Linked DNA regions of Rattus norvegicus. The protein of the gene in region 1 interacts with the protein of each later gene in a pairwise test. Links are inferred from orthologs where the notes say so. Each region holds a gene or a part of one and is shown on either strand. Other genes may lie near its edges.

The links.
Region 2: the proteins of Dapp1 (region 1) and Fxn interact in binary tests that used the Homo sapiens proteins (3 or more experiments, as listed by UniProt). The link is inferred for Rattus norvegicus from reciprocal best matches to the Homo sapiens genes DAPP1 and FXN.

Annotation. Positions count from the first base shown.
Region 1 is NC_086020.1:229,128,177-229,131,992, forward strand, and holds part of Dapp1 (dual adapter for phosphotyrosine and 3-phosphotyrosine and 3-phosphoinositide), read right to left. Parts: intron 1,742-3,816; coding exon 1,608-1,741; intron 1-1,607. UniProt on the Homo sapiens protein: May act as a B-cell-associated adapter that regulates B-cell antigen receptor (BCR)-signaling downstream of PI3K.
Region 2 is NC_086019.1:231,321,168-231,325,675, forward strand, and holds the start of Fxn (frataxin, mitochondrial), read right to left. Parts: upstream 2,823-4,508; 5' UTR 2,798-2,822; coding exon 2,639-2,797; intron 633-2,638; coding exon 535-632; intron 1-534.

The DNA.
Region 1 (3,816 bases):
ATGTGAAAAGGTTAGGACATTGATCTAACCTTTGGTTAGACCAATCGGTGTGACCTTGAAGGGGACATCAAAATGGGACTAGGTCCCCACCCCACCTCCATCTTCCTTGCTTCCTGGTCATGAGCTGAGTGGATCTCACTGCTGTGTACTCCCATCAATGATGACAAGGGGTAAAGGGTCATGGCCTAAAACCCGGGTGCCGTCAGACAAAATAAACTTCCCCCCTGTGTGGTCATTTAGCTCAAGTATCAACAGAGGTTAGACCAGTGGGACGCTGGCCAACAAACTGTGGGGTTTGATATATATATGTTATTATTATTATTATTAATCTTCCACTTTGACTAACTTCTGAAATGAGACATTTTGAATGCATACCAAGCTACAGGCCTAAAACTTGGTAATAAACTAATATGACAGTTAGGGGCTATGATTGCTCATAAAAATGTTTTCCATTTTCAATATGAGCACTTGGTTGCTGTGGGCATTTCTGGTGAAGTTTATTTTTGAAAGTGCTCCAGATTAAGTTCTCTGGGTCTCAGCTGCACACACACACACACACACACACACACACACACACACACACACACACACACTCACACACACGTTTCTTTTTTTTTTTTATTGGATATTTTTTTTTTTATTTTTTTTTATTAACTTGAGTATTTCTTATATACATTTCAAGTGTTATTCCCTTTCCCGGTTTCCGGGCAAAATCCCCCTCCCCCCTCCCCTTCCTTATGGGTGTTCCCCTCCCAACCCTCCCCCCATTGCCGCCCTCCCCCCATAGTCTAGTTCACTGGGGGTTCAGTCTTAGCAGGACCCAGGGCTTCCCCTTGCACTGGTGCTCTTACTAGGATATTCATTGCTACCTATGGGGTCAGAGTCCAGGGTCAGTCCATATATAGTCTTTAGGTAGTGGCTTAGTCCCTGGAAGCTCTGGTTGCTTGACATTGTTGTACTTTTGGGGTCTCGAGCCCCTTCAAGCTCTTCCAGTTCTTTCTCTGATTCCTTCAACGGGGGACCTATTCTCAGCTCAGTGGTTTGCTGCTGGCATTCGCCTCTGTATTTGCTCACACACACGTTTCTAAACCTATCACTTTCATGCCACAAGCAGTTTCCTGCCAGTTTCCATGTCTGAAATGATGAAGAATTACTTCGTGTTTTCTTTTCTTTGCTCTATGTATTATAAAATAGAATATTCTAAAGAAATTGTTTTTCTGTATCATTTATTTGTTTATGTATTTATGCATTTATTTATGTATTCATGTATGTATTTATTTATATAAGGGCTCACTGTATTTACCTGACTGTCCATGGAACTATGTGGATCAGACTGACCTCAAACACATAAAGCTCCGCCTGCCTGGATGAGCTTTTAATGCCCCATATCCCATAATTCAGCACTTGTGAGGCTGAGTTAAGAGGATCACAAATTCCCAGTGAGCTTGTGGCTATAGCAAGGACTTCATCTTTGATGTATTCCTCCCCTGTCTCTCGCTACGCAATGTTCTTAGCCCCATCAGAAGTCACCAGATTCCAAGCAAATTCTCATGCAGAACTATGAATCAGTAAACCATCTTAATAAACCAGGTATTAAGACAGCTTACCTGTCTCGCTTCCAATCAAAGGTTGATTTGCAAAATGCTTGACGAAATCCTTTAGAGATGAATATTCATTAAAGCCAAACTTAAAGGAGTACCCAGTGTATTCAACATGAAAGTGTTTGACGGAGTCTTTGGCTCTGAAAGAAAAAAATAGCATTTAATGTTATTTAACGAACGGCAATTCTTTTTGAAGGTGAATTTAGCAATGGGTCGGCATCACCACAAACAAGTCTTTGAGAATGCTGAACGCAGGGCCACCAACTGCTGAGCATCTTAAAGGCTGTCGAAGCAGCCTTCCTCTAGCAGGGGATTCTCACAGCTCTTCACTCTACTAGGAGACACCTGACAGTGCCCCTGCCTTCCCTTCCACTGGCTGCAAAGGTTCTTGAATAATAACCTCCATAAAGGTCATGAATTCAGGGACAGGGGTGACAGACAGGACCCATGTGCCCTTGTCTAGGAGTCAGTCAGAAGCCTGTTTCTGTCAATGAGTAACATGACCCTAGTCTTCTCCCTTGCCTGTGTGATTATCTAGTGAACAGTGTCACGTTTCTCAGGCTGTCATTTTCCACTTCATTTTTGAGATGAAAAGTACTTCATAAAATCTCCCCTGCTCACTTCACTTGTTCATTTCTCTTCTCCCTGGTCTCACCTCCCACTATATGGCCAATACCCCAACCTCTGGATGTATCAGAGTCAACTGTTGGTTGCTGGGTCTCACGCCCAGACAGTGATTCAACATGTGGAAGGCAGGCAGGCCCTCAAGAGGAAGGTTCTATCAGGTTCTCAGTGGATGTCGCTGATCTGGGGCTCCAGCCTCAGGACCCTGTCCATTGGGACCTGCTGTTCTTCTAGGAGTTTCCCTGCGTTTTGTTCCTTACCTCCAATTGTCTCTTCCCATTGGCCTCTGCTGCTAAACAACCTTGAGTCTTCCTGAAAATCCTACCTCATGATAATTCTGCCTTATGTTGAGAGCCTTTTTTACTCCTTGATCAAAAACTCACCTTCTTTTATGCTATTACTACACTTTGCTTAGTAGCAGGATTTGGGTCTTGGTGGCCCTATGAGGCTATATTTCTTGCCAACAACATCGGCAAATTAAGAGAGCTGGTACAAAATGCATGGTTTCAAAGATCTGTTATTAAGGGGATGGACAAATAAATGAATAAAAATAATCCTAACTCTGAACAGGCCTATGGGTCCTGCCACTTCTGCTGGCAACCTGCCCCTCCCCACCAAGTGTTATCAGGTATCTGTAATAAAAACCAGTGACTTATAATTTTTTCATGTAGATGAAATACATGTAATCTATTCATAAATAGCTTCTGATCAGATGAGTCACATGCAGATAAAACATTAGTTACCATCTGTGATCTAATAATTGTACCTGCTTATTTGAGATACTTGAAAGAACCAAGCAAGGGAGCATCCTGACACACAGTACATATACTTGTGTTCTCATATGTGCAGGTACATGCATGTATAAGCACATGTGCACATGTATGCACATGTTTGTGGAAGCTAGGGGGTAAACCCAGATATCATTTCCCAAGAATCTTTGACATGGATTTTTTTAGGCAAGGACTCTCACTGAACGTGGGGTTCATCAGTTCAGCAAAGCTGTGTGGCCAGTGAGCCCCAGGGGTACCTCTGTGTCCTCCTCTCTAGTGTCAGGATTAGAAGCGCATACCAACATTTCTGGTTTTCTACATGGGTGCTAGGAGTTCACCTTGGTTACTTTTTCCTTTCATAGACTTCACTATTACTGACTGAGTTATTTCCCTAGTCCCTAGCCCTGTTGTTTAGAAAAATTTAAAAATAAAACTTATCAGGGTAACTCCAAATATTGATAGATATCCTTTTTCCTCCCTTTGGCTGCCTAATTGGTTCCCTACTCTCTACCTATCTCTCCTTTTCCTTCTCAAATAGGCGTGTAGACACACTGCCAGAGAACGGAAGGTATGCCAGACAGAACGAGTAGATGCCCCGACCCCAACTCCGTGTACATCCCTGCTCCAATTATCCAGGCAAGGACTAGTCAAGACGGAGTCCTGAAAAGATTTAGTGTACTGTTAAGTCTCCAAATTGGTTCATATTCAAAACAGGAAGAGTCTCTGTGTGGGCCTGACCTCTACACACGAGCTCCGTGGAACAGACCTTTCTCTGTGTCACAGGAGTGGGCAGAGAGGGGTGCTCTGGCTGGCAGGAAGGC
Region 2 (4,508 bases), on another chromosome or scaffold:
ATGTGGAAGAGGGCTCTACAGACAATCAAGTAGTAAAGGTGTAAACGGAGGCAAGGCTGACCCTACAGGGACTCCATTGCCCTTTCCTGAAGACACTTGCTAGCTTTCGTTGCCAGCTTCCTTATGCAACTGAGCTTGGCCCACGGGAACCAGAGTGAGGGGCCAGTGCCAGTGTTAGCCCTTCAAAGCTTCCAACTCTTCCTACCAGATGGAACCTGGGCGGGCTGCTCTAACTTGGACGACAAACCTTGGGCAGCCTGGAGAGAAGCTGCGTTTTTTTATAGCTATATGGTCTTCTTCAACTAGGATTCTGGAGGGAATAACAAAACTCTGGGGGAAAGAACTTAAACAATAGGAATGACCTCAAGGAAGCCTGGGATATTCACACAGTAACACCATTCATCTAAAGTAACATGGCGGATGCTTAGCAATGGGAAAGGTGTCACTCAAGGTTGTTCCCAGGGAGAAATAGTTTCCATATGAGGCGAGAGGAAGAAGAAGACACGCCTGAGGTGGAAGGTGTTTTCATCTCACCTTGGGTTGCCCAACGTCCCCGAGTTCCTCAAATGCACCACGCAGACACTCTGCTTTTTGATGTTCAGAATCTGACCGAGGTAGTGGAGGTTCAAATGCTAAAAGACAAAGTTAAAAACACTAGTTAAGGGGCTGGAGAGATGGCTCAGCGGTTAAGAGCACTGACTGCTCTTCCAGAGGTCCTGAGTTCAATTCCCAGCAACCACACGGTGGCTCACAACTATCTGTAGTGGGATCTGATGCCCTCTTCTGGTGTGTCTGAGGAGAGCAACAGTGTACACTCATTAAAAAAAAAGTAAATAAATAAATCTTTAAAAAACAAAACAAAAAGCTCACTAATTACCACATCTTAGTCTACTCTGATCCAGCGATACATGGTTCATAGATCGGCCCTCCTGTATTCGAGAGTAACCAGTTACAGCATCTGAGGTACAGTTCCAAGGGGCTGATCCCCAGCTCTACCCCTCATGCTTTGTTATGGGTTCTCCCTGTCTTTCTGCTAAGCTTGTGCCATCTAATAGGATGGTCATGAGACATAGCCTCTGAATTTATTAAGATAAGGCCAAATTTAGTCCTTGGTTGTGGTGGTTTGAATAGGAATGGCCCCTTCAGGTATCTGCAGGCTTGCTCATCAGGGAGTGAGACTATTAGGAGGTGTGTCCTTATTGGAGTAGGTGGGGCCTTGCTGGAGGAAGTATGTCACCGGGGGCGGGCTTTGACGTCTCAGATGCTCAAGCCAGACCCAGCGTCTCACTCTCAGCTCCTGCTCCAGCACCATGTCTGCCTGTGTGCTACCACACTTCCTGCCACAATGATGATGGATTAAACTTCTGAACTGTAAGCCAGTCCCAGTGAAATGTTTGATCATGGTGCCTATTCACAGCAATAGGACACTGGCTGAGACAGCTGCGGCGGCTGTATCTCAAGTGGCCATGATTAGGTAGCACCAGACAGAACATTTCCCCGGGGTGGTGCTGTTGCAAGCTGTTCAGGAGATTTGGTGGTTCGCCAGAGACAAGGACACCTTGAAGTAGCCCAGAATTTAACTAAAAGAAAAAAAAATGGCAAAGAGGTAGAATTCTGTTGAAGTCCAGAAAAAAGCTGTCTGGCTGCTGGATGGAGCCCGTCAGCAGGGTGTGACCTGTTGATTTCTCTTAGTCTTTAACTGCCAGGCGCTGGGCAACGGCATGTGTGTTGATGAGATTGAGTGGAGAGGCAGGGGAAAGTGGTGTAGCCTTAGCTGAGATGACAGGTGCTCTCCCCTTCCTGGAATGCTCCCCCCAGGCCCCTTCTTTAGCATCTATCACAACCCTCTCTGGGAAGCCTTCATTCACCCCACTGCTACTCGTTGGGCTATCTTTTTAAGCCATGGAGTAACAGATTCTGTTCTTTGCCTCTTATAGGAACCGAGACTTATCTGAAGTGCTAAGGCCTTGGCGACTACAGTTTAACTCTCCCTACAGTTTAACTCTCCCGCCAAAATCGCAAAGTGGGTGTTACCCTTTAATCACCCATGAACAGAGAACCAAGCCCTGCCTCCAGAGAGCTAGGGTCTCCGAAGGTCACAAGGGCTCTCTAGGGCCGCGCAGTCTGAATGTGAAACTGCGGTCCCCTCCTTTTCCAAAAGCTGGAGTCTTGGGCCCTACTGCTACATCGGTGATCCCAGCACTAGTGAAGAGGCAGGAGGATCACAAGATTGAAACCACTTTGGGGTACGTGGCTAATCCTGGGCTAGCCAGGGATACAGGGTGAGACAAACAACAAAAAGCCGTGCTCTGAGAAACTCCACAACCCCATTGCCCCGAAAAAGGCAACTGGTTCGCGGAAGCCCAGGTTCCTTCCATGCTTCTGCCTGCCACCTGCGGTGTGCATACAGTAATAAACACACCCTGCTGTACTCGCTGCACATCCTGTGTTAATTACAGAAATTGTTTTTTCTCATCTTCACCGCCAAGGATCTAACCCCGCGCAAACACCGCGCGTGCTCTGCCCTGCGCGCGCGCGTCCACGCAGTGCGGCCCGGCGCGTGCGCGCTGCGCGTCCCCGGCATAGGGGCGGACGCGGCCTGCGCTCCGGTATGCAGCCCAGCGGCGCGCATACTCACAGAGTGGCGGATGGCGTCGGCGTTGGCTGTGACATGTAGGCCTCGGCGGCCGCAGGTTCCAATCCGTTCCCTCCCGCGTGGGTTCCGGACCCAGGCGGAGGCCCGGGAGGCCGTCCGGGGCAGCAAGCCCGCGGCTGCGCGGCGTCCGAACGTCCACATGCTACTCCCACTCAGCGGCCGCTCCGCCCCGCGCGGGGACGTGGTGGCGACACCTGGTGGCTATGCCCTGCGAGCGCCGCGGCTGGGCTCCTGAGCGCAGGTCCAGCACTGCTGCACTGTGGATACATTTAACCAGAACCCAGAGCCTGCTCTGTGCCAGACTCGGGACGCGTCCTTGGGCAGCACGAGTGTGTAAGCACTGACCTCCGCGAGTTTATTCACTGACAACAATTTTACAGAATGACAGTAGATGATTCTGAGGATACGCGGATGATCAAAATAGCCTTGCTTTAAAAAACCTAACAGCTACAACTGCCGCGTCCCTTAGGAAATGGAAATAACAGGCAGAATGGATCAGAACAGAGGAGGAGCTTCCGTAGCCCCAGGATCAGCCGAAGAGTTATTGGTTGCTATTGGCTACAGGATGAGGGAGGGTCAGTTTTCTTCAGGGGTGTGGTCTCTGATACTCTGTCCTTTTGCTCCAATGGATGGTCCTACACTGGAGCATATACCGTTAGCGCTAAGTGGATTCAGGGTTTAAAAAAAAAGTTGCCGGGGCTGGAGAGATGGCTCAGCGGTTAAGAGGACTGACTGCTCTCCCAGAGGTCCTGAGTTCAATTCCCAGCAACCACGTGGTGGCTCACAACCATCTGTAATGGGATCTGATGCCCTCTTCTGGTGTGTCTGAAGACAGCTACAGTGTACTCATATAAATAAATCTTAAAAAAAAAAGTTGCCGAGCGGTGGTGGTGTCTGCCTTTAATCCCGGCACTCGGGAGGCAGAGGCAGGTATACGGAGTTCCAGGGCAGCCTGGGCTACATAGTGAGTTCCAGAACAGCCGGAGCTACATAGTGAGACTTTGTTTTTAAACAGTATATGAAATTGGGAGAAGGGGTGGGGTGGTTCTGTAGTTGGAAGTGACAGGTGAGTTTGATCAGAAAACAATTGTATACATGTACGGGGTTCTGAAACAACAGTAGTAATAAAGAGGTGCCTGGCTGAGGTGCCCGGCTGTCTCCTGGATGAGTAATCAGAACTAGTGACTGGGTCTCCTCATAGCTTTTTTCAGCAGCCCCAACAGGTTCCTCACACTACTGGCAGCTCTCCTGGCTTTTGTGTCAGTTTGAAGAGTCTGCGCATTATTTGGGGTTGCCATTATGACGCTGTGGAGAACTCTTTGAGCTTCAAGAGTGAAGAAAGTGTCCGAGAAATCTTTCACCTCTAGGGTTTCAAAAAGGGTTGAATGATGGGAACTGTATAGGCGTTAAGAACATCCTCCATGTACCATCTGACTTAGGATACTCCTGTTTCTGATTTCCCAAAAAAGCACAAAGGAAAGGGCGGTTTGTAGTGACTGCTAATGTAATCTCTCTCTCTCTCTCTCTCTCTCTCTCTCTCTCTCTCTCTCTCTCCTGTCCCTCCTACTCCCTTCCTCCTCCCCCTCCCTCTCGGAACTGTAGCTAATTTTCAGATGTGGAATTGGAGGCCCGGACATTTAAGTAACACACCCCTGATTGAAGAGGAGCTAGAACCCAGGCCTCCTGATTTCTGACCCAAGGGCTCTTACACCCTTAGAAAAGGAGTTTTTCTTAGTTTCAATATTGCAGTTCTTATTGGCTCTCTGGAATCATGTGCCTGCCATGAAGCAAATATTCTGCAAAAAAGTGAGGGCAACATTATCGGTCAGTGTCATGGTCTATTTTGTGCTGC